Linked DNA regions of Notamacropus eugenii. The protein of the gene in region 3 purifies or fractionates together with the protein of the main gene of each other region. This does not show direct contact. Links are inferred from orthologs where the notes say so. Each region holds a gene or a part of one and is shown on either strand. Other genes may lie near its edges. The genes, in order: RELB, NFKB2 and NFKBIA.

Region 1 (9,949 bases), on a different chromosome or scaffold from region 3:
CGCCTACTATGTGCTTGGCATCTGAGTTTGTTTAATCATTTGTAACTGAGTGGCTCTGCTCTGGACAAACAAACAGAGAAAAGCCCTGCCTTCAGGAAGCTCCCACTGATGGGGGAGACAAGCCCTAGAGAGGAGGGCTGACAGGCAGGGAAGCCTGAGCCCTAGCAGAATCGATGGAGATGGCTGTTCCAGCAATGTCAACGTGGATCCTAACACTGAAGAGCACACTGATGTCAGGAAGACAAAAGTGATCGTTTCTATTTGCTTCTAAGTGTCAAAGGTCGTCACCTCCAGGAGGAAGCACAGAGTCTTGTTTGATGCTCGAGTCTGTCAAATGAGGAGGCTGAATTTCTAAGTCCACTTCCAGCTCACTACCTGATCCTGTGAAGTGCATTCTCCCCCACTCACCACACACACGTACACGCGCGCACACACACACACACGTGACACCTGGGGCCAAAGCCCTGCCTGCCCAGGGCTAGGGCCAGCTCTGTGGTGCTGGGAGTTTTGCTCTTCTAAAATTTGGAAGGCTCAACGGGAATCACAGTGGGTACCTGTGTCGGGGGCTGATGTGAGGCCGCAGCCGGACCCGGCAGACGCCATCGGCACAGTCTTTGCCCACGAGGCCATGGGGGTGAACGCGGTGGGGCCAGTCCTTCCACACCAGGCAGGCCGTGACCTCCACCTCCCGGATGCCCCCGCAGTCCCGGAGCTGTAGAAGCAGAGGGTGATGTAAAGGACTCTGCTGCCCGCCTTTTCCGCAAGTTCCCAACACCCAGCCCCCCTAGCACCCACCTCGATGGCGGGCAAGGTCTTGCTGGCCTCTGTGCTACTTTCTCCGAGGATGCTGCCAGCTGAGCGGCCCTCACACTCATAGCGGAAGCGCATCCCCCGCTGCTTGGGCTGCTCTGTGATAACCAGGTGGGGCCGGGGGCCGGGCCAGGCTGGTGGGAGCGGGGGTGGGGGGGGTAGGCACCCCACGGTCACAGTGCTCAAAGAGGCGGGTCCCCGAGGGACCAGCCGGAGGCCCCCCTCCCCGGAAGAGGCCCGCTCGAGACGAAAGCCATTTTCTTTGATGTATTCATCAATGATGTCTGGGGTCAGGTAACAGTGGCCAGTCAGTCATTCACCGCCTTCTCCCCCAAACTCCCAAGTGTCATCTCCATGCCCTCTCCCTCTTTTACTGTCTCTCCTGAGGTCAGTGCCTGCTTCTCCCAGAGGCCCCCACCAATCCTCCCCTGGGGCCCCCCTACACTTACCCAATTCATCTGTAGGGGAAACAGAGAGAGAGAGAGATCAGAGTCCTGGGATCACTAGGAAGTGCTCCCCAGTCCCACCCCTGGACCTCCCAGCAGATGATGTAATGGTAAAGCTAGAAGGACCCCCCCCCCCCCATTCTATGGATGGGGTAGTCAAGGCCTATAAAAATAACTTGTATTAAATGCTTCATGTTTGGCACTTTGTGATCCCACGGGATCTCAGTGCCCCTGGGAGGGGATCCTTTGAGAAGCTAGGGAGCAGATGCTCAGAGCCAGGGAGCTGTGCTCATGGGCATGCAGCTGGTACATGGTAGAGACAAGATCTCTCCTGACTTTGTTCCAAGTTTTTTCCACTCCATGGCACAGGCCCTTATTGGCCCTGCTCACCCTTCTCCCCCAATTTAATTCCATCATCTTCATCCCAGACCCTCCCTCTTCCCATTCGCCACTCCTTCAACCCCATGTACACTTTAGGTGTCTTCCAAACCATTTAACAGATGAGAAAACTGAGGCTCAAAGTGATAAAGTAACTTGCCCAAGGTCTGGGGGTTAGAACTGAACCCAGGTCCTCAGCCTCGGAGAGGGAAACTAGAGCCCAACAAGGTGTCAAGGTCATACAACTGCTTTAGAGGTCAGCTTATACAATCCCCTCATTTGATAATTAAGGAAACTGAGGCCCAAACTGGGGAAAAGGACTTGTCTAAGTCAATAAATTGAGACAGCAGTAAACCTCAAATCTCCTAACACCCAAGGCTTGGGCCACCATCCTCATTTTGAGAAATGAGGGTCAGTCCTCAAATTCCCCATCCTCAGCTGCCAAGGCCCTAGGCCTAAGGGAGTCTTTAGAGACCCTCAAGGACTTTCCTCCTCCTAGCCCTCTTTCCCCTGTTCTGTTCTCTCATCCTTCTGCAGTCCTTGGATTCCTCTGGCCTTCTTCCTTTCCTCAGGTATCTCTGCCCTTTGGGGCCCCACCCATCCATGGACACTGCCCCTTCCCTGCTCTGGGAACCCTCCATGATTCCTGGACCATGCAAGGGAATGAGCCAGATTATGAAGGGAGAGATAGAAAGGTAGAAAACGAAAGCAGAATGGAGGGGTATAGGAGGAGGAAAGGAGCCATTGAGACCAGAGTTCTCATCCTACCATCCTACCGTGCCTAGTCCCAGTCTCTTCCCAAGCCTGGAGAGGCGCTGGGAGTCAAAATAGTATAGAGAATGAAAGAGTTGGAAGGGACTCTGGATTCCATACAGTCCAGGCCCCTCATTTTAGAGATGGGGAAACAGATAATCTGTAGCCCTGGAGAGGGAGAGGTTGAAGGCCATCCAGATGGAGGTTAGATGGTAACCCAGTTCTCCAAACCAGGCCAGGCTGCTCCCTCCCCACAGAAGGGACTTTGGGCAGGGCAGGATCATTGAAGGGGAATCCCAGTTCTTCTCCTCCACCTCCCCGATGGCCCAGTGGCTACCTACAGGTACCTGCCCAGGGCCACAGCACTTCCTGGTTCTGCAGTGACCTTTCCCCTCCCCCCACTCAGTCTGAGGCCAGAGAACTGTGTTTCCCTTCAGTCAAAAGACTGAGGAGGTAAATTCATTGCACTGTAACGAAAAATGAAACCTCAGAAGGTCAGGGCTGGGAGGGAATTTAGAACATGAAATGTCAGAGCTGGCACAGACCAGCAAAGCTGGAGGATGTCAGAGCTGAGGGAGCGGGTTATGGTACAGGGGAAAAGACTTGGTTCTGAATCAATGGGTCTGAGTTCAGATCCCAGGTCAGTCACTAACTACTTGTGTGGGCTTGGGTAACTCACTTGTCTTTCTTAGCCTCCAGCTTCCTGTTCGATTAAAGCCAGCCTCTAAAGACCCTTCTCACAGTAAGCCTGGGGGGCTCTGAAGCCCAGTATCAGAGAGATCATTTTACAGATGAGGAAACTGAGGTGCAAAGGAGTGCTCCAGGAGTCTGAGTCAACAAGCATTTACTGAGCACCTGTGGAGGTGTGCCAGACACAGGACCAAGTGTCAAAGCAGGGGGAAGAAGCGGGTTGTACCCACCTGTGGTGCGAGAGGTGGGCAGAGTCAAGGCTGGGAGCTCAGTGGGTCCTAGGAAGGAGCAGATTCATGGAACATTCTACCTGGCCCTCCTTCCCGCTATTCCCCCAAGGCCTTTTTCTTCTTTCCCAGAGGGCAGTGATCCTTCTACTTGGGGCCCTTTCCTTCTCCCTCATTGCCTGGGTGCTCCCCCCTCCCTGATCTCTGCTGCACTGTGGGGAGGGCATCCCCTTTCTCCCTCTCTCACCCCCTCTTCCAGCTCGGCCATCTCCTTTCCCTGTCCCTCCCTGCTCCCCCTGCCCCCATCCCTGTCCCTGCCCCATAAGAGGAGGTGATTCCTTTTCCTCCCCAGCTCCTCTGCCTCCCCTGGGAGGTCCCCCTTTTCCTCCTCGGCTTCTCCACTTCTGTTCCTCGATCCTCCTTCTCTGTCCTGAGAGGGTCCCTTTCTTGTCTCCCCTGCTTTCCCACTTGTGTCCCTGTCTCTTTACTGCCCTGCTCCCTCCTCTCCATCTCTGCTTCCTTGGGGACCCCTTTCCCTTCCTGGCCCCTCCCCCAGCCCTACCACTCTGTCCCCCACTTGGGCCCCCTCCCCGGCCCTCCCGCTCTGACCCCTACTGTTACCCCCTGCGCTCTGCCCCACTCGTGCCCCCTCCCCCGACGCTCCCGATCTCTGCCCCCCGCTGGGCCCCTCTCGGTCTCCGTCCCACTGTCGCGGGCGGGGGAAGCTCACCCATGGCGGCCAGCACGGAGGCGGCGGCCGCGGCAGGGGCGGCGGGGGCCGGGCGGGCCGGACGGCCGCTCCTCCGCATGGCAGGGGCCCGGGGCCCGGGGCGCGGCGCGCTCTGAGCCGGGCAGGCTCCCCGCGGGCCGCAACAGAGCCGAGCCGGAGCAGGAGCCCGGGCCTGGCCGGACCGCGGGGGGGCGGGGGAGGCGGCGGAGGCTGGGGGCGGGGCCGCGGAATTCCCCGGCGCCGCGGAGCCCGCCGCCCCTATTGGCCCAGCCCGGCCCGTGACGTCACGGCGGGTGGAGCGGGGAAACCCCCGCGCGCCACGTGACCTAGGGCCAGCCGCCTGGGCCGGGGGCGGGGCCGGCCGGGAAGAAGGGGCGGGGCCTGGCCCAGGGGATCCCGGCTGTGGCCGGGCCAAGCCCCTCACTTAGGGGGGCATTCGAATCTAGGACTCAGGATTCCCAAGCCTGAGCCCTTCTTCCTCCACCCTTGTTTGAGGAAAGGGTCCAACAGGGTCTCGAGGGAGAAGTGCGAGGCAGCAAGGGCCCCCAAAAGACGGGCCAGGAGGAGGCCTGGGAGTCTTGGGGGGCAGTCTGCAAACAGGTCTGGATGGGTCTGGGGGAGCAGGGACTGGGGCGGCCACAGCCCTTCCAAGAGAGAGGAAAGGGGGGAGGGCACTGGGGAGCCCCCTCTTGTGGGTCTCTATGGCCCAGGATGAGCCCAAGGTCGGGGGAGGGAGGGGTTGGGGGCTCCGGGGAGCTGTCCAGCAGCCCCCCTAGGCGGCGATGGTCAGCAGGAGAAGGAGGCCGGGCCCTGGCATAAGTTAAACACCCATATGAATTTATTAAATCCAGAGTCTGTGTTGGGGGAGGTGGGAGGTGGGAAAGGATGAGATGGGTCTGGGGGTCGGGAGGGAGAGCTCTGGGGCCTCAGCCCCCTCCCACCCACCTCCCTGCCATGATGCGATGGCTTACAATGATTACAGATGGCGCTGGAACTGACACAGGGACAGACAGGCAGGGAGCGCCCTGCTCCCCACACTCCCAACACCAGCCTTCCCCCACATCACAACAGGGGGGCGTTCCCCTGACCCCCTCCAGCTCCCTCCCTCCCCGTCTGTCCAGGGCAGGGGGGATGGGGTCACAGTGAGCTGGGGGGGGGGGGCATGGGGAGAACGTTGATGGCCAGGGAAACCAGGGGAGAGACTAATCCTTCTTCTTTTCCTCTGCCGGCTTGGGGGCGGGCCCCTGGTCCTGTCCAGGGAGGGGGCCATCCCCACTGGGGGCTGCTGGCGGCGTCAGAGCCGCCACAGCTGTCTGCGCCTCCCCGCTCATTCCAAACTCGTTCACTCGTGTGGGGTCCACCCGGTATATCCACCGCTGATAAAGGTAGATGAAGAAGACCACATCTGAAAAAGCACAGGAGAGACCCATGAGGGGGCCAGTGGGGCTGCCCCCACCCTCAGCCAGAACAGCTTCCTCAAGAGCTCCAGGCTCCTCTCAGCTTCCTGAGGATCACAGATTTAGAGATGGAAGGGCCTTTGGAGGCCAGAGTCCAACTTCTTCGTTTTGCAGAGAAGAAAACTGAGGCCCAGAAAAGTGACTTGAATGAGCTTACACCATCGAAGTGACTGAGGCAGGATTTGAGCCTTTGGCCACTTCCTTTGACATGGACCACCTCCTGGATGCATTTAGGAGACCTTGGGGTTGTGGTTCCCAAGTATCCTAGAAGTAGTCCCAGGCCTCCTGGGGAGCCTGCCCCTCCAGGGGATGGCTTTGCCATCGTGGATGGCTCTCCCTGTAAGAGGCTATTCACTAGATGGAGCTGCAATCTGACAGTGCATTGCCCCTTGTTCCCAATTCAGTGTCTGGGATGAACCAGGTGTTTAAGAAATGTTTACTGAATTCGAGCTAAGAGAAGGGTATGACAACAGAATCCTACTCCCTCAGAGGTCTTCCCTCCTTCTGGCTACTCTCCCCACTTCCACCTACAACCCTTTCTTGTCCAGCCGGCCTGTCTCTGCCTCCCTACAACAGGACTCCCATTAGTCCGAGGGGCTGACTGGCATCCTGCTCTCAGGGCCTCACCCAGGGCTGTGCCCCACCCTCTTCCCCATCCCCATCCCTCCAGGCCCCCACGTGCTCACCATCTCGAAGACAGCCAATCCGGTACATCACTGGCATCTTGATGACAAAAGCAAACAAGTCATCAATGAAAGTGTTGAGGGCTTTGTAAGTCAGCATGCGCCAGGGCAGATGGGCCACGGACTTGAGCTTATAATTGATGAAGAGCTGGGGCGTCATGGTGATGAAACCTGGAGATGGATGCAAAGGGGGCAGGTGAACGCACTGGGAGACTTGGAAGGGGCCTCAGTCTCCTCATCTGTAGGGTGGGTTGGACCAGACAGTCTCTGAGGGCCGCCTGAGGCCAACACCTACATTCCACAGAGAGACTGAGGCTTAGAGATGGTCACAGCTCACTCCAGACACCATCAGCATTCATCGGTGTCCTGGGCTACCTGATGTCAGACCTGAGACCTTACAGGATACATGGCCCATATCCCTTCATTTTACAGATGAAGAAACTGTCTTGCCCAGTGGGTCCTATCAGGTGAGGGGTAAAACTGAGATTGTTGCCAGGGCTTCTAACCTCCACATAGTGCTCTGGCTATCACACTGGGAAGACAAGAGGGCTGGCTTGGTTGAGTGGACATAGCTAGAGGGGCCACCCAAGGTCAAGAGGGACCATAGGCGCCCCCATTCTCCTCCCTTAGCTGGAAGGCCCTTCCCCCATCCCTGGGTTCTTCCTTCACAGCCATCTCCAGCACAGCCCACACCTCCAAAGCTTCAGAACTGCAATGGGGAAGGAGTTTACATATAGGGCGGCCATTAGCAGCTGGGTGCCCTGTACCTGGTCCTGCTGGGCCCTCAGGTCTTCCAGCTACTTGGTCACTAGGCCATGGTCCCAACATATCCCCCAGGTCCCCCAGGCACTCCCCCACCATGTACATGTGTATGGCCAGAGGCAGAAGAGAAGTCAGGCCTTCTCAGAGCTCTATTCACTGCCTTGTGGACAAAAGAATAACAGGACCAAGAGGCCAGAGAGTCTAAGGCCAAGAAAGGTCTGGGCTTGCCCAGAGCCCCCAGTACAGCTGACACAAACTCAGGGTCTCTCCTCAGATGCCAAAGCCAATCCCCTTCCTTCCTACTCTGGCAGAAGGACCGCTAACGTGTTCCGGCTGTCAGGGAGGGTCTCACCGAAGGTCAGCAGGAAGCCGTAGAGCATGCTAAGGACCCAGGAGTACCAGCCCTTATGCTCCATGTACAGAAGGCTGTACACAGCATAGCAGCCCAGGAGGGGGAACAGGATCCAGGACAGGTACCTGAATGCCATCTGCATGGGGGGGAGGGAGTGGTGAGTCCTGATAGGGACCTGTCCTCAGGGCCCCTCCTCTCCCACACCCACATTGCCTCCTTGGCCCTCTGGCCTTGCCCAAGGGACTTCCCAGGTAACACACAAGGACTTTGAGCTTCCTAGCACTTGCAGGCTGGAGAGGTGTGTGTGTGCATGCGTGTGCACACCCCAATATGCCCACAAGGGCCCCCCCTTCTGATTCCCCCAGGTCTCCCCCTCTCTCACAGCCCTCCTCCAGGGGAGCCCTCCACACCAGTCTCCTCCCCCATGTCCTTCAGGATGCAGGGTCTGCCTCTCTCCACCTCCTTCTCCCCACCCCCACCCCTGTCTTTTCCAGGGCCCTGCACCCCACACTTACGTCATCATAAATTTTGGTGGAGGACTCTATATATGTAGACTTATCCTTGAAGGTCAGGCGGGGGAATACTCCAGCCACCTTGTTCTCTCGGTCCAGCTAGCGGTGGGGGAAAAACGAGTAAGCGGAGGGAGAAAAGCTCTCTTCGAGGACAACCAGCCCCAATGCCCCTCAATTCCCCATACCCTGAGGGGCTCTAGTACCAGAAAATCCCCAATACAAATTCCCCAATCCTTAGTGGGGGGGCTTGGTCCTGGAAACTCCCTGGTCCTACACTGGGGATGGGTGGGGGGAGGGGTCTTAGCTCCCTGCAGTGGGGGCTGGGAGTCAGGGCTCAGCACTCTCCTGTGCAGAGTTGATTGAGATCCTTACCCGGACATCCATGACCTTGGTTATCTTCCACAGGTCAATCAGGACGCCAATAAAGACGCTGACCTGAACCACAAAGTTGGTCTCATTGTCAAGAATATAGAGAAGGACCACAAGTGACTGGAACACACCAAAGAAGACAGAGCGGACGGAGAGGCCCTCAAGGGACTGACGGCTGTTCCAGAACTGGATGTCTGTGAGCCCGGGATGGAGCAGGAATTAGGGAGGTGAAGTCAGGCATACCCAGGCCACCAGAGGGCTGAGGTGGGCCTGTCTCTATGCTCAGGCTGGGGGCTCCCTCTGGTGCTAGGACCCTCTCCTGTCAGCTCCAGGGCCACCCTGGAGTTCCCCTTGGCTCAGACAGCTGATCCCCTGAAGCCCGGGTGGGGGTGGGGCCTTGCCTGCTCTCTGCCTGGAAGTGCCCGCCTGTTGCCCCACCCTTCTTCACCCCCTCTTCAGGGACTGCCCTGACCAAATCTCCCTGGAGTCAAAGATTTGTGGCATCGAACCTCCAACAAGGCGGAAAACTGCCCTAGTCTTTTTGGAGTAGGAAGGGGCTGCATGTTTGAGGAAGGCTCCTCTAGGCTGGGGGCTCTCTGGGTGGGCCCCTACCATTCTTGAAGGCCAGGAACTCAAAGACGCTGTGGACAATTGAGACGACGATGGTGAGGGCCAGGAGGTAGGGGTTGGTCTCGAGGAGGGCCACCTGGGAGGGCAGTGACACACAGAAGGTCAATGGGAGTGAGGACTCTGCCTGACCCGTCCTCCAGGGGCAGGCCCCAAGCCCAGGAGACCCACTGAAAAGGGCATTGGGAGACAAGAAAGAACAGTCATGGAAAAGTCAGGGAGAAGAAAGAGGGGGAGAGATGAGGGAAAAGTTGAGGAAGGAAAGGGAGCACGGCTGGTGCAACCCAAGGGTGGGTGGAGGCTGGGGAGCACCTGCCCCTCTGCCCTCACCCTGCGTCCCCCAGGACCGGCCCAGAAGCATTATTAGAAGGACTCAAGCTTAGGGATCAAGTGACTCTGACCCTTGTCACCTGGTGGAGCAAGAAAGGGTGGGAGGGAGGGAAGGAAACAAGCATTTCTTAAGTGCTTACTGTGTACCAGGCCCTGGGCTAAGCACTTCGTAAACCTCTCGCTTGATCTTCACAGTACCCTGGGAGTGAGGTGCTGCTCTTGTCCCCATTTTACAGCTAAGGAGACTGAGGCCAGCAGAGGGGAGGTGATGTGCCAAGGGGCACCGCTCACCTTGACGGAGTCCTGCTCCTCATCTGACTGCTCGTACAGGTCCTCCCCCAGGAAGTTCCAGGGCGAGCGGCTGCTCTGGGCTGCATAGAGCTGCCAGCGCCACAGCGACAGAGGGCAGAAGGAGAGGCGCAGGGGCAGGCTGGCCAGGGTCTCGTTGATGGGGTAGTAGTCTCGCTGCAGGTTCCAGTAGTCATTGAAGTAGATGATGGGGTAGTAGTCTCCGCTCACCGCGTCGAACTGCACGTCTACAGGGGAGCAGGAAAGTGGCCATCAGGAGGGCGAGGAGGGAGGGCCCAGACTGGGCCGGGCCGGCAACAGGAAGGGGAGCCTGAGGCAGCCCCCCGGGGCCGGAGGGGCCACCCCAGAAGTCAGGGCTCCGAACTCTGCTGAGAGGCCTGAGGATAAAATGCAAACAAAGAGGGAGAGTCCCAGGATCTGTGATTTCACTGGCAGCTACAGCCAAGGTCCAGATGAGGAAAAGCCCGCTCCCATATGGTTGGGCACCTTCCCCAGGGAGCTGCCTGGAACACCA
Region 2 (10,153 bases), about 150 Mb from region 3:
GTGGGCTGATTGGCTACCAGGTGCTGTTTCCTCTGCTGACTAAACTTCTGGAGAACATCAGCCCTGCAGATGTAGGGGGAATGGAGGAGACACGGATGAGGGCTTCCACACTGCTTTCCAAGGTATGATCACCCACACCAGGCCCTCCCCCTGGGCTACTACCCAAACAGCACCCACTGGAAGATAGGGAAGGCAGGGAACAAGTATCTCTCAGTGCCCTGTGGAATCTGAGGGCCCAGAAGAATCCTGAGCCTCAAAGGAATCACCCGAGACAAAGGCCTACAAGGGAGACAGGCTAGATAGGGCTTCTTCCCATCCCTGGAACCAGGGACAAGGGTGGTGTCTTCGATCATCTGATCAGCCACTGGTGGGCCACAGGTGTTCCTGCAGCACCTATCCCCACTGCTGTCACTTCCAACCTTTGCTGCACTCTGGCTGACCATCCTGGATTTCATGGACAAGTATATGCATGCAGGTTCCAGCGACTTACTGGTATGGTCCCCTACAGCTCCCCAACCTCTGCTCCCTCCCCATTAAACTCGGTCTCTATCCACTGAGCTTTGTCCCTACCCTATCCTCAGTGTGGCCTCTTCTCCTGTGCTCCTTCCACCTCCCCCCCCACCAGGCCCAGTCACTTTGCCCTACCCTTCTAAATTCCTAACTTCCACATGCACTTGTTCAGTTTCCTTGTCTGAGGGCTGCTCTTTGCCTCTTTCCCATCTGTTCTGTTTCCCCCTCCCCACACATACCTCTCTCCCAGTCTGAGGCCATCCCTGAGTCACTGAAGAACATGCTGCTGGTGATGGATACTGCCGAGATCTTCCATAACGCAGACACCAGGGGAAGCAGTTCCTCTGCCCTCTGGGAGATCACCTGGGAACGTATTGACTGTTTCCTGCCCCACCTGCGAGATGATCTCTTCAAGCAGACAGTCATCCCTGGTATGGGAAGGCCCTACTGAGCACTTCTCCCCAGCTTCAGCACAAAGGAACCCTAGAGCTCCCAGAGAGCCTAAAACTGGATTGGGGCTCAGTGCCCTGGGTTGGTCAGTGGCACACAGCCATTGGGAGGAGACAAGACTATTCTTTTACAGAAAGCTAAGAGATACTATCTGAACTATAACTCTCCCCAGATCCCCTGCCACCGGTACCTACCGAACCGCATTCCCAGAAATCCTTGACCTCTGCCCATTTGACTCCTGCTGCCAGTGACCCAAGACTGTCTAGCCACAACTATACTCCAGAAATGCCCTCAGAGCTGGGGGCCTATGGTAAGTCTCCTTTCTCTGCACTTCTAAATATTAAAAGAAGGGGTAATGAGAGGAAGAGAATAAGCACTTAGTAAGCTCCTGCTGTGTGCCAGGCGCTGAGCTAAGTAGGAGGTAGGTGCTATTATTGTCCCCATTTTACATATGAGGAAACTGAGGGAGACAAGTTAAGTAGCTTGTCTAGGATTAGTGTCTGGGACTGGATGTGAAATCTGGTCTTAATGACTCCAAGGACAGCACTCCCAGGGAATCAGAAAAGTGTAGGCTCCATCAACCGCCAGTATAGTAGAGCCATTCAGAAGGAAGTGTGAGTGAGGGGGAGAGTGATGCTGAGCAAAGGGATAGGAGGACTACGTCGTTTGGGCTTTTCTTTATTAATTCTTGTAGAACTCAGGGTAGAAGAGTAGGGATTAAGCCTAGATGTAAAATGAACTGCCTGGTTGGTTAGACCCTGGAAGAGATGACTTAAGGAGACTCAGCACTGCAACAAGGTAGATTATCACTTGTCTAGGCTGAGGCAGGGAACCTAATCCAGGTGCATGGGAGGAATGTTTGTAGAATGTGCCAAAGTGGGATCTGAATATTGCAACATTTTCCCCCACAGATTCAGAGAAGCCCGAGGTCTCTGGAGCAGCAGCCAGTAGTTGTTCTGGTTCTTCTACAGTCTTGACACCCAGCAAGCTGAGTCCCAGCACAGATGGCCCTGCGCCCTTGGCCCAGCCCCCCCTGATCCTGCAGCCCCTGGCTTCCCCACTGCAGGTGGGCGTGCCACCCATGACATTGCCCATCATTCTAAATCCAGCCCTAATCGAGGCTACTTCACCTGTACCTCTGCTAACTGCTCCTCGACCCACTGACTCTATGCCCACTTCTGAAGTCAACTAAGACAGGTGATTGGAAAGACTGGGCCTATCCCTTCTGTCACACCACTGAGGGCCTCTCACCCTCTCCCTCTTCTGGTTGCACACTATGTTGATGCCACCTCTGGGCCCAGCCCGGCCACTGCTGCTGCTCTCATTGGAGCCAAATTGGAAAATTGCTGAAGGGAATGAGGGCAGCACTCCTAGAGACGTCATCCAGGGAGAAGAGACTGTCTTCTTCTGCTCATCATTTCTGGGAGGCCTCCCTGAGAGCCCACCCCAGGCTAACTCTAGTCTCTAAGGAGTCCTGGACTAACCCTAAGGGAGAGACCTGTGGGCATCAGTGCCAACCAGCCTTGTCCATGTTGTTTCTTGGCATTAGGGGCCCCTTGTTTGCCCTTATCCTTCAGTCCGAGCTCTGAGAGCTATACTCCAACCACATTGCACTTTGCTTCCCTTTCCTCAGACCTCTCCTCTCCCCATCAGCCCTGAGCTACCTCCTCCAGCTCTTCCTCCTTTATCCGTGAGTTGGGTTCATTTGGGGAGTTAGTTAGGGCCAGGAGACAGAGGTGACGAGGGGAATTGCCGACAGGAGCATGTACATATGAAGTTAACAATTGACTTTTTACAATGTAATAAATGTAATAAAACCCACCCACCAGCCTCCCGTTCCCCTTCTGCTTTACCTCCTCCCCTTCCGAATACTTCTTTTCTCAGTCTGTGGCCTGACTTGATAGAGAAGGGACTAGTCCTAACACAAGAGATCCACAGGGCTAGCTGAGGGGGAGAGAAGACATAAACGGGGACCCTGCAGCATTCTGTCCCCTGCTTACCAAGGAACTGGATACAAGGACAGGTTTTCTTTGTTGCCAGTCTGTAGCCACCAGTCACTTTGCCCAACTACCCTCCTGCCTGGGGAAGGGCATCACTAAGGGCAATTGTACCTTCCAAAACTAGTGGGAAATAAGGCTAGAACAGTTTATGAATAATTGCAGCTCCCAGAGATTACCTTCCTCCACAGTCTCCCTGTTCTAAGGAGAAATGAGACAGTGGGGGAACTGAAAACTAGGGCTGGTGTTGCCCATTACCGGATAGAGCTAGGCCTTAATCCTTGCAATCTACTATCACTAGGGCTCCAGAAGCTTAAGCCTAGGAACCAAGTCAGAGCATCATAAGATGTCAGGTATGAAGAAACTTTAGGGCCTATACCCCACCTTCTTCAACAGGGGTGGAAAACGGAGGCCCAGAAAAATTCAGTGACTTGCCAACCCTGTGACTCCCAACTTATCTACTTGCAGAAGGCAAGATGGTATGCAGATAGAAGTGGCTGAAGATTTTCCCCCCCAAGTCCTAGTCTCATGCCTATAGGGCCTGGCCTTTGAAGCATCATACCCACTACTATAAGTTAAGGGCCTGCTTCTAAACCACTAGTCTGTGCCTGGTACTTCTCTCTCAGTGCCACCAGGAAAAAGAGAGGAGCAGGTACTTCTGGGTACTAACACATTCTTGCGATTTTTTGCCGTTTTCCTACATTATTGCCCACCCCCCTCAAGGACTACAGAAGTCAGCACTCACAGTTATGGCTGTATTGCCCCAGAAATGCCTCCCCCTGATTGCCACTTCTAAAGAGCAGCAGCCCTGAATGCCTACAACATCCTCCTGTGGGAGGGTGACTGGGTATAGAGCTAGAACTTCAAGATGCTAGAGTCTCACCTAGGAAAACTTCAACTGTGCTCAAACTAGGCCTAGAATTCCTCTTTTGCTTTAAGGGTCTTCTGACCACTTGTGCTTTAATCAACCATAGGGAGGGAAAACAGGGATATAAGCTGTGTGGCCGACAAGGGGAAATGTGGAGCTATCTTAAGGAGGTGGTGATAAGAATCTTAGAACTCAAGGTTGAAGGAATTCAACAAGAATAGGGAACTAGGTAGCTGTAGAGTCTAGCTGGTTTCCTGCCTATCATTCAGGAAACAAGCATTTAGTAAGTGCTTACTATATGCCAGGCACTGCTGAGCACTGAGGATACAGATAGACAAATACACCCTCCCTTACCTAAAAGAGGTCACATTCTAATGGATGAGACAACATGCAAATGACATGTAACATACTGTGTACATGGCAGATGATGCTAGAGGGATGGAGTGGGGGCAGAGCCTGGGAGGCTTGCAAAGGATGGAGGAGAGCAAACCAGACATGGGAAACAGCCAGTGCAAGAGTCTAAGCACAGGAGATGGACCGTTATGTGTGAGGAACAGCGAACAGGCTGGTGTAACTGGATCGTAGAGGAGAGTAAAGTGTAAAAAGCTGGGAAAGAGGAAGGAAGGCCAGGTTGTGAAGGGCTTTCAATGCCAAACGGGCTTTCTGCTTGATCCAGCAAATAGTAACCATTGGAGTTGATGGGAGGGAGAAACCTGGTCAAACTTTGGCAGTTTAATAGAGGGTGGATTGAGGCATGAGGCAGATGGACTAGTCATAAGGCTGTAGCAGTAGTCTAAGCAAAAAATGATATAGACCTCCAGGAGGATGAAATACTGAGTGAAGACAAGTGAGTTATCAAGGAATGACAGGGGCTTCAAGCTTGGGGGACTGAAAGGATGGTGGCACCCTCAATAGTAACAGGAAAATTGGGGAGAAGTGAAGGTTTGAAAGGAGAGTTTTTGGACAAAGTTGGGTTTGAAATGCCTATGAAACATCCAAAAGTCAGTTGGTGATGTGGAACTGGAGCTCAGGAGAAAGATTAGAGTTGAACACATAAATCTGGAACTCAATTTGCACAGAGATGATAGTTAATGGGAGCTGAGATCACTAAGCACTGTAGTACAGAAAGAGGGTCAGCCTTATGGGATACCCATGATTGGTGGGGTGACCTGCATGAAGAGTCAGTAAAAGAGCCTAGGGAAGGGCCAGATCTATGTAGCTAGTCAGGCCTAGCAGCCTTGTCTTAATACACTGGGTCTTTCTGTGACCACTGGTCTTTTGATCCCTAGCTGACAGAGATCAAAGCTTAGAAGTTATGGATATCTGACATTTTGTAGACTATGTTTTACTTACATTATGGAACTGGAACTTGATCAGCCTGTGAAAAAGGCATGACAGACATTATTACCATTTTAAAAGATTAGGTCACGGAATTAGTGTCTGGTGGCATTTGAACTCAGGTCTTTTCAAATCCGAGTCCAACTCTCCAATACACTAGCTTGATCCGACCGTTTCCTCCCTCGGACCAGGGGTATCCACCGCCAGCTGGGCTCTTGCCCCCTCCCTCAACAATGAAGCATTTCTTAAGGGCCTGTTACGCGCTGGAATGGGGACCCGAGGACAACAATTAATCCACCCTTGGCTCACGGGGGGCTGGGGGAGGGCGGGAGAACGAGTCGGTGCACAGGCGTGAACAAACCCAGCAGTGCTGCGGGGAGCGCGGGCGGCCGCACGGCCTCCTGCCACACCCCCACCTCCTCCACGCTCGGGCAGCGCGGGCCCGGTCCGGACGGTGCCCAGCAGGGTGGCGCTCTCGATCCCGCTCCCAGACGGAGCCGGACGGGGCTCTAGGGTCGCGGGCGGAACCCCCCGCCCCTCCGAGCTGGCGGGCGAGGGCGGTGCCCACGGAGCTTCATCTCCACTTCTCGGGGCTGGCCACCGGGCACCCAGAGGGGGCCGCAGCTCCGGGCGCGAGGGCGCGGAGACACCCAAGGAATGCCCACCCTTCCCGGATCCCTCCCTGGAGAAGGGGGAAGGGGGAAGGGGTTCTCTTCCCGGCTGGGAGGCGGAGACACTAGGGGAGGGGGCGGTGCTCCATGCTCAGTCCTCATTGGCTGCACCGACTGCGGGCCAAAACTTTGAGCCAATGAGAAAGAGGCCAGGCGGTGACGCCCCGTGACGTGATGGGAATTCCCCCCCGAGGGGGGGGGCGGAAAAGGGGCTTTCCCGGCTGGGGCCGCCGCGGGCCGAGCCGCGCCGGGGTCGGACGGCTGGCGGAGGCAGGACTCGCCGGTAGCGGAGCCGGAGCCGGAGCCGTAGCTGCAGCCGTGAGTGGTGCCCCTGCGTCCTGCCCCTGGGTTCCCTCGGTTCTCAGAGCACGGGTAGAGGGGCGGGGGCGGGCCCCCACTCAGCCTTGAGAGTCAAGAACCCAGGTCCGCACGGGGCGCGATCCCACGCAGACACACATCCCCCACTCACGCGCCTTCCCACGTAGACGCTGACACGCACGAGGGTCGGCCCGCGAGGGACCGCAGTCCTCGGCACACATCGCAGGCACGGAAGGGTGTACACCCTTCCGCAGAAAAACACACTGACACGCGTGTGCGCGGTTGTATACACACACACACACCCCCGGCACAAGTACGCGGATACCCAACCGTCTCATTTTAGCACGGTTACACAGACACACGTGCATGCAGGCAGACACAGAGAGAGACAACTGGAATCTTTGTCTCTCGGCATCCCCACGTACAGGGAAGAGTGGGGAAGGAGCTGGGTGGAGGCAGGCTCCCCTCCCCCAAGCTGCCCAAAGTCCATAGGAAGAGCGGAGGGCATTATATCCCCAGGGACTTAGGGCAGGAGGGCCCCCAGAGGAGAGGGGGCTCCCTACCAGAGGAATCTCCCCCAAAAGCCCCAAAGGCTGAATCAGCAGTCTCCTTCCCTCCTTCCCCCCCAGGCCCCAACAGATGACCCACGGAAAATCCCAGGGGAGCCCCAAGCCGTGGGAGGGGGGAGAAAGGGAAGGAAGGCTAGAATAGTAAAGGGAAGGGCAGGTTTGAAACCCAGGAGGGGGTAGCGGGAGAGACAGGGGAAACTCTCATTGGGCTTCCAGATTTCACCACTGGCCTGGAAAGGTGCCCCCAGATCCCCAGCTCAGAGCCCCTCCCTCCTACTGAAATCCTCTGCCTTCCCTTGCCCTAGTCTTCTCCCCCTTCATCCCCAGCAATCAGCCCCTCAGACTTGGGGTTCCTCTGATAAGGGGCGAGGGTTCCACAGCCCACGGTTCCCCACGGAGCAAGGCTCTGTTCTGGGAGTAGGGAAGAGAAAGGAGAGCAGGAAGGGGCCCCTCAAACTCCTAACTGCGCCCTCCCTCTCTGGGCTGGGCAAATCACGTCATTTCCAGGCCCACCCCCTCCCTTCGCCCCTCCTCTCTCTGGTATTTTCGGGACTTTCCTGAGCTGTTCTAACTTTCCTGCCCTCCCAGCCCCCGCCTGCCCACAGCTCTCTGGCTCTCACCCATTCCAGCCTGGCAGGAGGAGGGACCCTCTGCCCCCTACCCTCAGGCTCCTGGCTATTCCCTTTAGACCTGGCCTGAGGGGTGCCCCTCCACACCCACAAGCACAGGTACTTGGCGATACATCGGCAGCAGAAGCTGGACAGAGCCCAGCTCTAAAACATGGACGATTGCTATGGCCCAGTGAGTGCTAGCCTAAGTGGCTATCTTTGTGACTCTCCTTATTACCAACTCTCTCTCTCGGACCCTGTAGGCCTCTCTCTGTCTGTCCGTCTGACCATCTGGAGTTCTCTCTGTTTGGCTAATATCCTAGACTCTGTCTTTCAGTGCCCCTCCCCACCCCCACCCCCACTTTACTCAGTCCTGTCTGTCCTGCCAAGCTCTGATCTGTGTCGACCCCTTGGATTCCTGGTCCTCTGTCTATCCAAGCCTCTGTGTTGCTTTCCTGGCTCTTATGATGTGAGCTGCTGCCCCTTCCTCCTTTTGCCTCCAGCTCTCTGGCTTCCCCCTTGCCCCTCTTTCTTGGTTTGTCTGTCTGACCACTTCTGGTCCTCTCCTAGTTTGGGTGATCATTCTAAGTGGGGGATGGGAATAGTAATTTTGTGGGAATGGTAAGTTTCCACTATATCTATCCAAATCCAGGGTTTGGATGGCATTGATTACGATGATTTCCAATTCAACTCCCCGGTAGTGGATCGAAGAGAACCCCCAGAGGAGACCGGTCAGTATGGCTCTGCTAATACCAAATTTCCCAAGGACTCCTAATCCCCTTTGTCTCCCTCCTTGTCAATTCCCACTCCTGCCATCCAGTTGTTTGTTCCCCAGGAAGTAGAAATATAGGACCTTCTGCCAGAATTGGGGTGGGTATGAAAGGAGATCTCAAGACCCCTGGCTCAGACATGCCCCCTCCATCCCCAGGTGAGGGCCCCTACCTGGTCATCATGGAGCAGCCCAAGCAGGTGAGAGCAGGAAGGGGGACCAGGGTGGCTAAGGGGCTTTGCCTTCCTTCAGTTCCAGGGGTGGGTGGGAGTGTTCCTTAGTGGTTAGAGGCGATCCCTGTGAGTTGGGGAGTGGTCCGTGCAGACTGGGGTTATCACTCCTCACTATGGCTATTTTCTGATCCTCAGCGAGGCTTCCGCTTTCGCTATGGCTGTGAGGGCCCCTCCCATGGAGGGCTGCCTGGAGCCTCCAGTGAAAAGGGTCGTAAGACATATCCTACAGTTAAGGTGAGCAGAAGAGAAGGTGGGGGGGAGGGGTTTTGCCGCTGGAGAAGAGGGGCAGGGAGGTGACTGTCCATGTGTGGCAAATATCCCTCCATTCATCCTCCCCAGATATGTAACTACGTGGGACCAGCCAAGATTGAAGTGGACCTGGTCACACACAGCGATCCACCTCGGGCCCATGCACACAGCCTGGTTGGGAAGCAGTGCACAGAGCTGGGTGTCTGCGTGGTGTCCGTGGGACCCAAGGACATGACAGCTCAGTACGATGTCCCCATTCCCATCCCTACCCCCACCCTTGAGCTTTTCTGAGGCCAGCAATAGTTCTGCTTCCCCCCTCCAGTCCCCTGGTTATTGAATCTTCTTCATAGGCTTAATGTCCATGCTTGGTTGTACTGGAACAAAAGGGGACTTGATTGGGGAAATCAGCATCTTGGTAGGAGTAAGAGAAAGAGCAAACTTAAACCCTACACTCAGAACAGTCTGGGGGGGTGGAGGGAACAGGACAGAGTGAAGGCTTGGCCCCAACCCTTGGTTGCTCATGGCTTGGCCAAGGAGATGAGATTCACTCCTGGGAATATAATGAAATAAGCAGTGTGTGTTCTGAGGGTTAGAGCAAGCTGCTTGGATTCAGGGCTGGAGGATCTCAGCAGAGGTGGAGATCCCTGTGGATTGGAGGAATCAAGGAAGCCTGCCTGAAGGATGCAAAGGACTTGGACAAGTAGAAAAGCAGGGGGAAGATATTTCCCACCCAGGGAGCCGCTTGAGCCCTCCCATCTTTTGCTTCTCCGTATCTGATTTGTCACCCTGACTCCTTTCAGGTTTAACAACCTGGGAGTCCTGCATGTGACAAAAAAGAACATGATGGAGATCATGATGCAGAAGCTGCAGAGGCAGCGACTCCGCTCTAGGCCCCAGGGTCTAACAGGTATGGGCACCATGGAAAGGGGAGTATGTGTCTGGGGCTGTGGGTAAGGTAGAGAGGAAGAAGGGAGGGGGGGAAGAGGAAGGGAGAGAGAGAGGGAGATAGAGATAAAGAAAGGAAGAAAGAGAGGTTGAGAAAGATTGAGAGAAATTGAGAGAAAGAGAAAGATTGAGAGAGGGAGAGGGAGGAGGGAAGAGAGAGAGAGGGAAGGAGGGAGGGAGAGAGAAAGAGATTGAGAGAGAAGGAGGGAGGAGGGAGGGAGATAGAAATAGAGGGAGAAAAAAAGAGATTGAGAGAGAAGGAGGGAGGAGGGAGGGAGAGAAAGAGAGAAAAGATCAAGGGCACTGGGAGGGCCCATACAGTGACCTGAGGATTGAGGGGGTCAGACAAAGGGTTGAAATCAACTGGATATACATGTGACTGCCCATCACAGAGGCTGAACGGCGGGAGCTAGAGCAGGAGGCCAAAGAACTGAAGAAAGTTATGGACCTCAGCATTGTCCGGCTCCGCTTCTCTGCCTTCCTCAGGGCCAGTGATGGCTCTTTCTCTCTCCCCCTCCCACCTGTCATCTCCCAGCCCATCCACGATAGCAGTGAGTGACCCAAGCACAGTTAAAGGGGATATGGAAAATGTGGAGCAGAGACCACAGTTGGAGGGGGAAGACTGAGG
Region 3 (9,672 bases):
ACACAGTCATCATAGAGCAACTAAAAGGAGAGAAAAAAGGCAAGTTAATGTCTAGAACTTCAAAGGAAAAGAGTTCAGTAATTTTGGGGCTTCTTTCTCCATTACATATATATTTTTAAAAAAGGTAAAGATATTTTCCCTTAACAGGGGGTTAAGCCAAGAGATAAATTACATTAGAACATGGGTGAATCTTTTGGCATTTTTATAGGTGGAAGATATTTAAGGGAAAAATTTGGGAAAAATAACATTCATTTTGTGACATTTTGACAGGGTGAAGTAGAATGCATAGTTGACAAATCTGAATTATGTTCTGCTTTGCTCCCAGGGGCTAGAGCTAGTATGCCCCAAGGGAACAAGGAAGAAATAAACTATACAGCCAGAAGAGCTCTCAGAGGTTCAGTCTCCTCATTCAGCATGTAGCACAAGAAACGAAAGTCCCAAAAGGACCTTGACTTGGAAAGATCAGATATATAACATACAGCAGAGTGAGGAGTGGAACCCTAATTCTTTCATTTCAAAGGGTGAGATCTTTTCAACATGTCACACTTGCCCTAGTTCTCATTTAAATTTTTTTTTACAGGATGTTGTAAGGGATCAATAAGTGTTGCAACAGTTACTTACTTCATCCTCTGTGAATTCTGACTCTGTGTCATAGCTCTCTTCATCTTCACTCTCTGGAAGCATTTGCAGGTTTTCCATGGTCAGCTGCCCCAACTGCTTCTGAATAGTAGTGTTCTCTCTGCCCCAAGTGAGCTGATATGGAGAGTAACCCTGGTAGGTGACTTTGTTCACATCAGCCCCACACCGCAAGAGGAGTGATACAAGGTCAGGATTCTGCAGGTCAACAGCAAGATGGAGGGCAGTTCGACCATTACAGGGCTCCTGTAATGCAAGAAAATTAGGATGTTCAACATAGATTATATATATATGTGTGTGTGTGTGTGTGTGTGTGTGTGTGTGTGTGTGTGTGTGTGTGTGTGTGTGTGTGTGTGTGTGTGTGTGTGTGTGTGTATATGAAATAAAATATATTCAGGGCAATGGGAAAGGGCTGGCCATAAGCAGACTCTTTTGAATCCCTGCCACACAACCATTTAAAAAGTGTTATAATCACCTGAGCATTGACATCAGCTCCCAAGGACACCAAATGTTCTACTATTGCTAAGTAGCCATGAATGGAAGCCAAATGGAGACATGTGTGACCTGCAAGAACAGCAAAGGAAAATAAATATAATTATTCATGTTAACCCTAACATTTCCTGCTACTGCCAGAACAGGGACTTTTCCCCTCATTTTCTTAAAGGAGTTAAGCTACTGTGTTCTGAAATTTTAGAAGTCAGACTTCTAGTCTTTCCCCCCAATAAGTAAAGTTCCCTTAAATAAATTAAACTGATAATGGAGCCGTAAGTGACATTTTAAAAAGTCTCCGATTTTTAGACACTAGGCAAGTTCCTTCCCAGTCTCATGGTTCAGATTCTGTATTAAGCAGTTCTAACGTGTCCAGGGCCTCACTGGCCTCCAAAGAGTGGTAGCATTGCTGGAGTCGTACCATTGTAGTTCGTGGACTGCAGCACGGAGAGGAGGTCCTGGGTCTGGCAATACTGGGTAAGCACTCCCACACCAGCCAGGCAGCCCTGCTCACAAGCAAGGTGCAAAGGTGTATTCCCTTGAAAGTCCCTGAGCTCTGGGTCGCAGCCAGCTTTCAGCAGTGTCTCAGCAATCTCTGGCTGTTTGGTGATCACAGCCAAGTGAAGAGGAGTCTACAAACCAAAGAGAGAGAGGAACACAGGTGAGCCTAGGTCACACGTAAACATTCTGGGATTCCCTTCAAAATGATCATCCCCTAGCCTTAGGAACTGCCAATGCTGTCTCATTAAGAAATCAAAGCTATAACCCAGGAGCAAAGGTTACTGACGGAGAACAGCCGTGGCACTCTTTTGGGTCGAGGGGGCCTGGGTTCAAGTCTTGACTGTGCCACCTGGGTAATAGGTAAGTGATTCGAAGTCATTTCACCTCACTGCACTTCTCAATAATCTCCTCATCTATAAGATGAGGGTCCTGCTAGACCTGCTGTCAGGTCCTTTCCCCATGTAAGTCACTGCTGACCCCGAAGTCATTCTAAACGAGAACAGTCTTGCTGATCCCGGGCCTGCCAGGCCGGGCCAGGCAGGGCACCAAGCGGCCTCGAAGGAGGGGGCCGCACCTGCTGCAGGTGGTTCTGCGAGTTGAGGAAGGCCACGTCCCCCGCCACTTGTCGGATGACTTCCAAGGTCAGGGTCTTCTCCTCGTGAATGATGGCCAGGTGGAGGAACCTGCAGCGCGGAGCAAGGAGAAGAGAGGGCGCGTGAGGGATGCGCGGCGGGCGGCGGGGGGGAGGCGGGGCCGGGAGGAAGGAGGAAGGAGGGTTGCGCAAAGCTGGGGTTTCTGAAGGCCGGGGCCGGTGTTTTCCGCGAGGTTATTATGAGCTGAGTGTTCCTGGCACTACCCCAGGGACTTTCCGGGCCCTCCCCCACCCCTCCCGGCTGGCGCCGGCCCGCCCCGCCCCTCCTTCCCCAGCAACTGGAACGCCCTGTACTTCCCCCTGCCAGCGGCGGCCCGCGCGGCCCGGGCGCGCGGCCAAGCCCCGCAGAAAGTCCCGGCGCGGCTCCCCTCCCCCAGGCCACCTTACGCACCCCGGGCCTCAGGTCCCCCGCCCCGAGCTCGGCCCCGAGGGGCCAAGGGCTTCGAAGAGTTTTGTAAAGGGGGGGGCGAGGCAAGGGAAGTTCCATCCGCTCGCTCGCGGGGGGAGGACGGCCCACGATGTGCTGGGGGCTCTCCCCGCATCCCCCGCCCGTTCCTGCGGCTCTGGGGTGCACCCACCTCCAGCCTTTGTTCCCCCTCCCCCCCCGACCCCCGTCTTCGTGCCCGTAACCGAGAGCCCCGCCACACTTACGTGTCTCCGTCCTCGGTGACCTGCAGCTTCCAAGGCTCTTGGGGCGGCCCGGGTTGCGCCTCCTGGGGCTGGATCCGGATCTCCTTCAGCTCCTTCACCATCAGCTCATACTCCTCGTCCTTCATGGAGTCCAGGCCGCTGTCATGGCGATCATCCAGAAGCCTCTCCTTTTTGAGCCCGTCCCGGGGGCTCTCCATGCCCTGCTCCCGGGGGCTCTCCTCCTGGGGCTGTCTCAAGGCGTGAAACATGGCGCTGCTCCGAACCCACGGGCTTCGTGTCTTTGCGGGGCTCCAAACGCAGCGGCGAGCGCGGGGAGGGAGCCGAGGGGGGCGGAGGAAGGGGGCGGCTCTTGGAGCTGGCTGGCTGGCGACGGGGAGCAGGCCAAGCGACCGTCAAGCGACTGGAGGGGAGCGGGCCGCGCCGCCGACCTATATGCTGCGGCCGGGGATTTCTCGGGGGCGGAGTCAGCGCGGGGAATTTCCAAGCCAGTCAGAGCAGAAAGAGAGAACTGGTCCGGTCCTGCCCGGAGGGGGGAAAGCCTGCAGCCCGCGGGAGGGCTCGGCGGAGAAACTCCCGGGGATGCGGCGGCGGGGTCATGCCCGGGGAACGTTCTGATGAGCGCTCGGTCGTTGGAAAGTCCTCCCCCGGCTCCCCTCCTTTTCCCCCAGGTATTCCCCTGCAGCCCAGACTCGCTCCAGTCCCGCCAGCGTGCCAAACACCTTTCCTTTGTCCCCCACCCCCACCCCCACCCCGAGGGGTTCCCTGTCTGGGCTTTAGGTTGGATGCATTCTGAGCTCTCCAACTTCCAACATTTCAGGAACGAAGAACTCAGCCAATTAATGAGCACCCCCTTTCTCCCCAACATTTAAGTGCCTTACTACGTGCAAAGCACTGGGGATACAGAGGGAAAAGTAGCCATGTCCATGCTCTGCAGGAGTCCAAAATCTGTTCCTTGTTGGATGTTTCAGCTTCAAGTCAGCTACAAAGCCCCGGAGGCCCTCAGGACAGCAGCAGAGCAGAAGCTAGTGCATCTTCTTCAGTACAACTCCCATGGCTAATTTTTAGTGATTGATTGATTTCAAGATAGCTCCTCTGTGGGACTGGCTGAGCCAAACAGGTCTTTATTTTAAAACAAATCTTGTAAAGAAGAAAGATGGAAAGCATGGTTGCATGCAGGGATCCATGCATCCAGACTTCCTCTGTGTGAAAGTGTGGTCTAGTGGTTGGAGTGAGACAGGAATCTTAGATTCCATTTCTCTCTTTGCTGTCTACCTCTATCTGCAGTATAAAGCCTACTGATTCCTTACTTTTCTCATTTTCCTAAATAGGAATACTGACAAATGAAAGAGTTAAAAAGCCAAGTGCTTTGAAATTCTCAAATGAAAAGTACTTCTTGTGGCCTCCTTGAGTTTGCACAAGCACCACATCCTATATAGATGGGAACAGACTGATCCATGCTAGTAAATATTCTTATTGGATTACTCTTCGCTGTACATGAAACTGTTAAGTATGAAATAGCAGTAAAAGGAAGCCAAGTGTTCAGGGCTCCTTTGTTTATTTTTTAAAGCAGAGGTGGTAGGTATCATTACAGTTAGCCACTATGTATTTGTTGATGGTCAGCTATGTGCCTTCAATGATGCTTTTGCAGATATTCATCCAGGTCAATTCTTTCCTTTGGCATGTTCCCTTTATAGTTTAAGTACTCCATGCAAAACTTTTATTTAACCATGTAAAAAAGATGGGGAGAGGGAAGGGTGTTGGGGAGGTGTAATTCAAAGAACCAGCCTGATATGTCTGTGAAAAACATGAGGTCTAAATGTATTACACTATATGCTAACCAGGGCCAAGAATACGTCTGTCAGGTAACTGCTCAGAAGTGGGGGGAGGGTGCTATCATATTTTAAAAAATATTTTTCTCAAATGTTGCTTATACTAGATGCCCACCCCCTTTCATTGAAAATCAACAAAGACCTAATTGCTTACCTTATTTGGTAATGGAGAAAGTAGGACATGTCATCCATCCGTCCATCCTTTCATCCAACAAACATTTAGTAAGTGGTATTCAAGATACAAAGAAAAAAGATAGTCTTTTCCCTTAAGCCGAATTATATTGGGGGAAATAACATACAGAAAAATCCAAAATATATATGAAGGAACTATGGAGCACAAGCAAGAGGGATATCAGGATTGACTTCTCTGGAAGAGGTCTCCTTAGAAAACATTCATGTGGCATTAAAGGTTTGCAAAGCTCTTTATAAATATTACCTCATTTTATCCTCATTGCAACCCTGAGGAGGAGGTGCTATTATTATTTTCTCCATTTTACAGATGAGGAAACCAAGGCAGACAAAGTTGAAATGACTTGCCCAAGGTCATGCAGCTAGTATCTGAGACAGGATTTGAAATAAGGTCTTCCTGGTCTTCTGGGTCCAAAGCTCTGTCCATTGTTCCAACTCGCTGGCGCTTAAGTTGTGTTCTGTCCATAGTTTCCAGCAAAAGATCTAAAGTGGTATAGCACTCCTTCTGAGCTACTCTTCCAAATTCATCCACACAGGTTTGCAAGTTGGATCCCCAGGGACATGACTACTACTCCCACAGGTTTTAAGGTACCCTGTGAGTACAGGCTCCAAGAGCTTCCAAACCCACACCAGTGTGCTTCCCATTAATGGTCAATCAGTAGACATGTCAGCTCAAAGCAAAGGCATTTATTAAAATGGCATAGTAAGACTTGCAGCTACAACACATTTCTCTTCACGAATCTGCAACACACTTGGTTACAATTATTATTAATAGTGTCAGGGTACTCATGCCAAGACCACTCCTCTGTTTTTACATCTCTTTTTTTACTATTAGGAAATACCCAGTTTTCCAAAGCTAAGTCCCAGCAAACAAGCTGTTTAACATAACAATCCTTTGTGCTTACCCTCTGGATGATCTCAGTCACAGCAAAACCCTAAAATTGTTTCCCATGAGCACCAGGTGGTCTGTGAGCTTGGACAAGCATCTGTAGTACCTGTGTTCTGGTCATGAAGTCCTGGCATGAATCAAACTTACCTCACTGTTGCTGGTACCCCTCCACTATCGGGGCTGCATCTCACTTTAGAAGCCATTGGTATAAATGAGATTTGCCCACACTATTAGCTCTTTGGTTTTATTTTGTTTTATTTTATTTTTAGAGTTAAGTGTAGTTTTGGTAAGCTATGTGAGCTCTCTGGGTTGCTTTTTTTTTTTTTAGCATTAGCAGCAGTTGCAGAGCTGGGTGGCTCTTTGGTCATTTGTTTTTAGGGCTGAGGATAGGAAGAGAGGGTATGTACAAGAGAGTACAATAAAAATTTGGCACATGTGTAGGGATCAAACATAATCAATGCAATTCATGCTTTAAGAACTACAGGATCTTGATAGACTTTCTGTAGTCTTCATGGCATGCCTCCCTCTCATTTCCCCCACTTCTCCCATATCCATAGCTGGGCTCCGAGGGACCGCTCTTCTCCAGAGTGACTATCAATTGCCAGGGAGAGTTTTCTTTTGAGTTCATAGCAGGCTCTCTTTTCCTCTCCAAGAGAGCAAAGTTGCTTCTAACCTAGAATGCCTCTCTATTTTCATGTCTGTCTGGAGAATATGTATCTCTGCTTCCTCTTGGATATATCTCAACTTTTGAACTGACAAACTGCTGGATGTGGCAAAGTATTTCTTCAACTAGATGACTTAACAATGGAGGTGGGGAGTGGGGAAGAGAGAGAGCCATTCTTGGAATTCTTTCTTTATGGTAGGTTCCTAGTCTGAAATAGCTCTTAATATCCAACTGCATCATTTAGGGGTCATAGGGACGGTGTAGAAGGGATGACCAATTATTGTTTGTTTAGGCATTCACTTCTGATTGAGAGAGAAAGGTATTCACATTAAATAAACAGTAGCAGGTTAGCACATCATTCTGTGTCTATGACGGAGCTGGGGAAGGGGAAACCAAGTCCTCCCTCCCTGGTATCACTGATATCACTCCACTTCTTGTAGTGGGCTGGTAACTTAGATCAGATCTATTCAAATGTTGGACATGAGGGGCCAAAATGGTTTGCAGAAATTTCTTGATGTTTTTGTAGTATCCCTTACCTTTAACCTTTGTATTTCTCCTTATCCATTTTTAATGTAGGGGACCTGGGTTTGTAAGTTAGTATAGATGAAGGAGAAGAGGGTGAAAAATACACACGTAAGTGTGGTATCATGGAAAGAACACTGGCTGTGGACCTGGAATTCTACTTCTGGAAGCTTAGTCACCTAGGTCGGGGCTTTGATCCCTTCCAACACTAGATCTGTGATCCTGTGAATCTTTAGGGAAGTTGTAATAACATCTAATTAATCTAGCACAGTATCTAGCCAGGCACTGCTGGCTAGTGCCTGTCCTTTATTTACCATTACAATTTGTTCTTGATTATTGTTCTGGACTTCTGTCCTCTCAGTAGGGGAACTGAACTCTGAGGTGCTCCAACTCCATCTCACTTCAGATTCCTAAGAAACAATTTATTTTTGGTTTTAGTCTGAAGGTTTCTCTTCAGTAGAGTTGGGGAGACAAATTGAAAGAAAGGAAGTAAAAAAAAAGTTACCCAGGTACAAACATGAATCAGGTATGGAACAAGCAGTTTTATACTCACACAGGAAGGGAACAGCTTAAGCAATAAAGATTCACAGAATGATTACGATCAGTTGAAAGGCTAATACTCAAGCCTCATTGGGACTTTGTAACAGGGCAGCTCATTGGTTACTTTTTACATTTCTACTCCACTGAGAATAGTCCAATTGATGCCAAGTGTACTCCTTTTCCAGTGGTTTCCTCTTTCTGTGGGCAACTCCTTCTTTCTTCCTAAGGTCTGCTGCTGCCTCTGCTATTGCCGTTTCTGTTGCAACTGCTCATGAAACTAATGCACCACTGTTTGGGAAGGGGGAGAATTCCAACTGTTTTTTGAAATCTCACAAGTCTCTGTGACCAGATACAAACAGGAGGCAGACCCATGCCAGACACAGGCTTGACTAAGAGGCCTTGGGTTGGCAGGTGGGGGGAAAGTCCCCCTTCCCCTGCCTTGGACCTTGGAAACTAGTCATCTTCATAAGCCTCAAAGCCAGCAAGAAGGAGAGGCCTGAGGGGGTGGGGATAGCCCCTTTAGATTATCCTTAATATTCTGGTTTAGCAATCATTTAAATAAGTCCTCAGTGACTGATAAAAAGAGTTTCTCCATCATAATCCTCCACTAGGTACTAGGAAATATGCTATATGGTCTCTACATAGGAGGAAAGACCAATTTACTGGGAGTTAGTTTAGCTGGGTCCCAATTCTAGGTAAGATATATCTCTGAATTTAATTTAACAGTTTAAACTTACCTCTCAATGTCCCCTCTTTCTCACTTGTAAATGAAACATTTGGATCAGATTTTCCTTGACCAATTTTGCAACTCTATTTTGCGTAAATGCAGTCAAATCTGATATTTCAAACACACTGATGTGGTCCTTGGGAACATCATAGCGGAACTCTCCATGTAGAAAGAATGATAACATTCTTCACTTGAAGGAGTGCAGACATCTTAGAAGTATCATTTCATTAACTCTCATAGCACCTGCTGTGAGAAGGGTGGAGGCAGACACTAAAGTGACCCAGGATTTCCTTTAATTGAATTTCAGTAACATTTTAAAGGCACATGTGGATGAAAAATAATTTCATCTGTAATCCAGAATAGTTTTCAAGGGCAGCTTGTTTGAAGCTTTTTTTTTAGTTGCCTGGTCATTCTCAATTTCTTCTGCTGACACCTAGTGTACAAGAACCGCAGCAGCAACAGTAACACAGCTCATTGATTGTCCAGGGCTTAATGATCAGTGGCCGGAATTTAGGAAGGCGTTAAGTTCTGAGCCTTGATGAATTGTCCCTACTAATTGGGGATTCTAAAGGGTTCTTTGCTTTTCTTGCAACATGGGGAGCCGAGACTGCGTTGAGTAATGCTGCCTCACAGGTGTTTTTTTTCTGTCACATGTAGAGAGACTTCATAAGATCATAGATTTCTGAGCTAAAAGGGTCCTTAAAAAGATATCTGGTTCAACTCTGTCCTTTTTATATGCAAGGAAAAGAAATGTCAGAGAGGAGTTGCAATGCCTTGCCCAAGGTCACGTAGCTGTTGTAGTTCAGTCGTTTTAGTCATGTCTGACTCTTCATGACCCATTTGGGGTTTTCTTGGCAAAGATACTGGAGATTTGCCATTTCCTACTCCAGTTCATGTTGCAGATTAGGAAATGGAGGCAGATAGGATTAAGTGATTTGCTCAGGGTCACACAGCTAGTAAAGCGTCAGGTCAAATTTGAACTCAGAAACACGTCTTCCTGACTCCAGGCTGAATTATAAATTCGGATACTCAGACTCCGAATTAAGCACTCTTCCCACTATACTATGCTTTCAAAGAAGGCAGATGAAGAGTATGGTGTTAAGGTTGAAACATACCCTCCTGGATTGTTTAGTTTATTTTAAGAACTGATAAACAGAACTAAAACAAAGGGTAGGGGAGGAGACGACTAAGCTTTGATCTAGGACAATTGCCTGCCCCAAAGTCCATATATAAACTGAGCCCCTCCTCAAACTCACTTTCTTAGTGTCCTCTTGGGTTCTCCTCCCATTCATGTACTCTTGTCCTCCTTTCCCTTTCTCCTCTGAGAGAGGTTTGTAATTTGAGCATCATGGATGGCGCTGGTGAAACTGGACTCTTTGGGGA

What was found.
Region 1: the proteins of NFKBIA (region 3) and RELB purify together in Homo sapiens (affinity purification with mass spectrometry; 4 studies listed by BioGRID and IntAct, counting the BioPlex papers as one, with this or other methods). This does not show direct contact. The link is inferred for Notamacropus eugenii from reciprocal best matches to the Homo sapiens genes NFKBIA and RELB.
Region 2: the proteins of NFKBIA (region 3) and NFKB2 purify together in Homo sapiens (affinity purification with mass spectrometry; 6 studies listed by BioGRID and IntAct, counting the BioPlex papers as one, with this or other methods). This does not show direct contact. The link is inferred for Notamacropus eugenii from reciprocal best matches to the Homo sapiens genes NFKBIA and NFKB2.

What each region holds. Positions count from the first base shown.
Region 1 is NC_092876.1:27,467,473-27,477,421, reverse strand, and holds the start of RELB (transcription factor RelB), read right to left. Parts: upstream 4,186-9,949; 5' UTR 4,114-4,185; coding exon 4,035-4,113; intron 3,356-4,034; coding exon 3,308-3,355; intron 1,269-3,307; coding exon 1,260-1,268; intron 1,095-1,259; coding exon 796-1,094; intron 713-795; coding exon 555-712; intron 1-554. Other genes in the region: putative lipid scramblase CLPTM1, read right to left, coding at 5,237-5,439, 6,178-6,345, 7,289-7,424, 7,804-7,899, 8,173-8,363, 8,782-8,875, 9,418-9,662.
Region 2 is NC_092872.1:180,576,528-180,586,680, forward strand, and holds the start of NFKB2 (nuclear factor NF-kappa-B p100 subunit), read left to right. Parts: upstream 1-6,041; 5' UTR 6,042-6,152; intron 6,153-7,248; exon of another isoform or gene 7,249-7,309; 5' UTR 7,310-7,501; coding exon 7,502-7,522; intron 7,523-7,981; coding exon 7,982-8,060; intron 8,061-8,164; coding exon 8,165-8,298; intron 8,299-8,466; coding exon 8,467-8,565; intron 8,566-8,670; coding exon 8,671-8,822; intron 8,823-9,380; coding exon 9,381-9,487; intron 9,488-9,917; coding exon 9,918-10,076; intron 10,077-10,153. Other genes in the region: GBF1 (Golgi-specific brefeldin A-resistance guanine nucleotide exchange factor 1), read left to right, coding at 21-122, 379-492, 761-941, 1,133-1,270, 1,872-2,152. UniProt on the Homo sapiens protein: NF-kappa-B is a pleiotropic transcription factor present in almost all cell types and is the endpoint of a series of signal transduction events that are initiated by a vast array of stimuli related to many biological processes such as inflammation, immunity, differentiation, cell growth, tumorigenesis and apoptosis.
Region 3 is NC_092872.1:327,532,921-327,542,592, forward strand, and holds the start of NFKBIA (NF-kappa-B inhibitor alpha), read right to left. Parts: upstream 3,823-9,672; 5' UTR 3,178-3,822; coding exon 2,930-3,177; intron 2,310-2,929; coding exon 2,201-2,309; intron 1,758-2,200; coding exon 1,547-1,757; intron 1,201-1,546; coding exon 1,112-1,200; intron 883-1,111; coding exon 622-882; intron 21-621; coding exon 1-20. UniProt on the Homo sapiens protein: Inhibits the activity of dimeric NF-kappa-B/REL complexes by trapping REL (RELA/p65 and NFKB1/p50) dimers in the cytoplasm by masking their nuclear localization signals.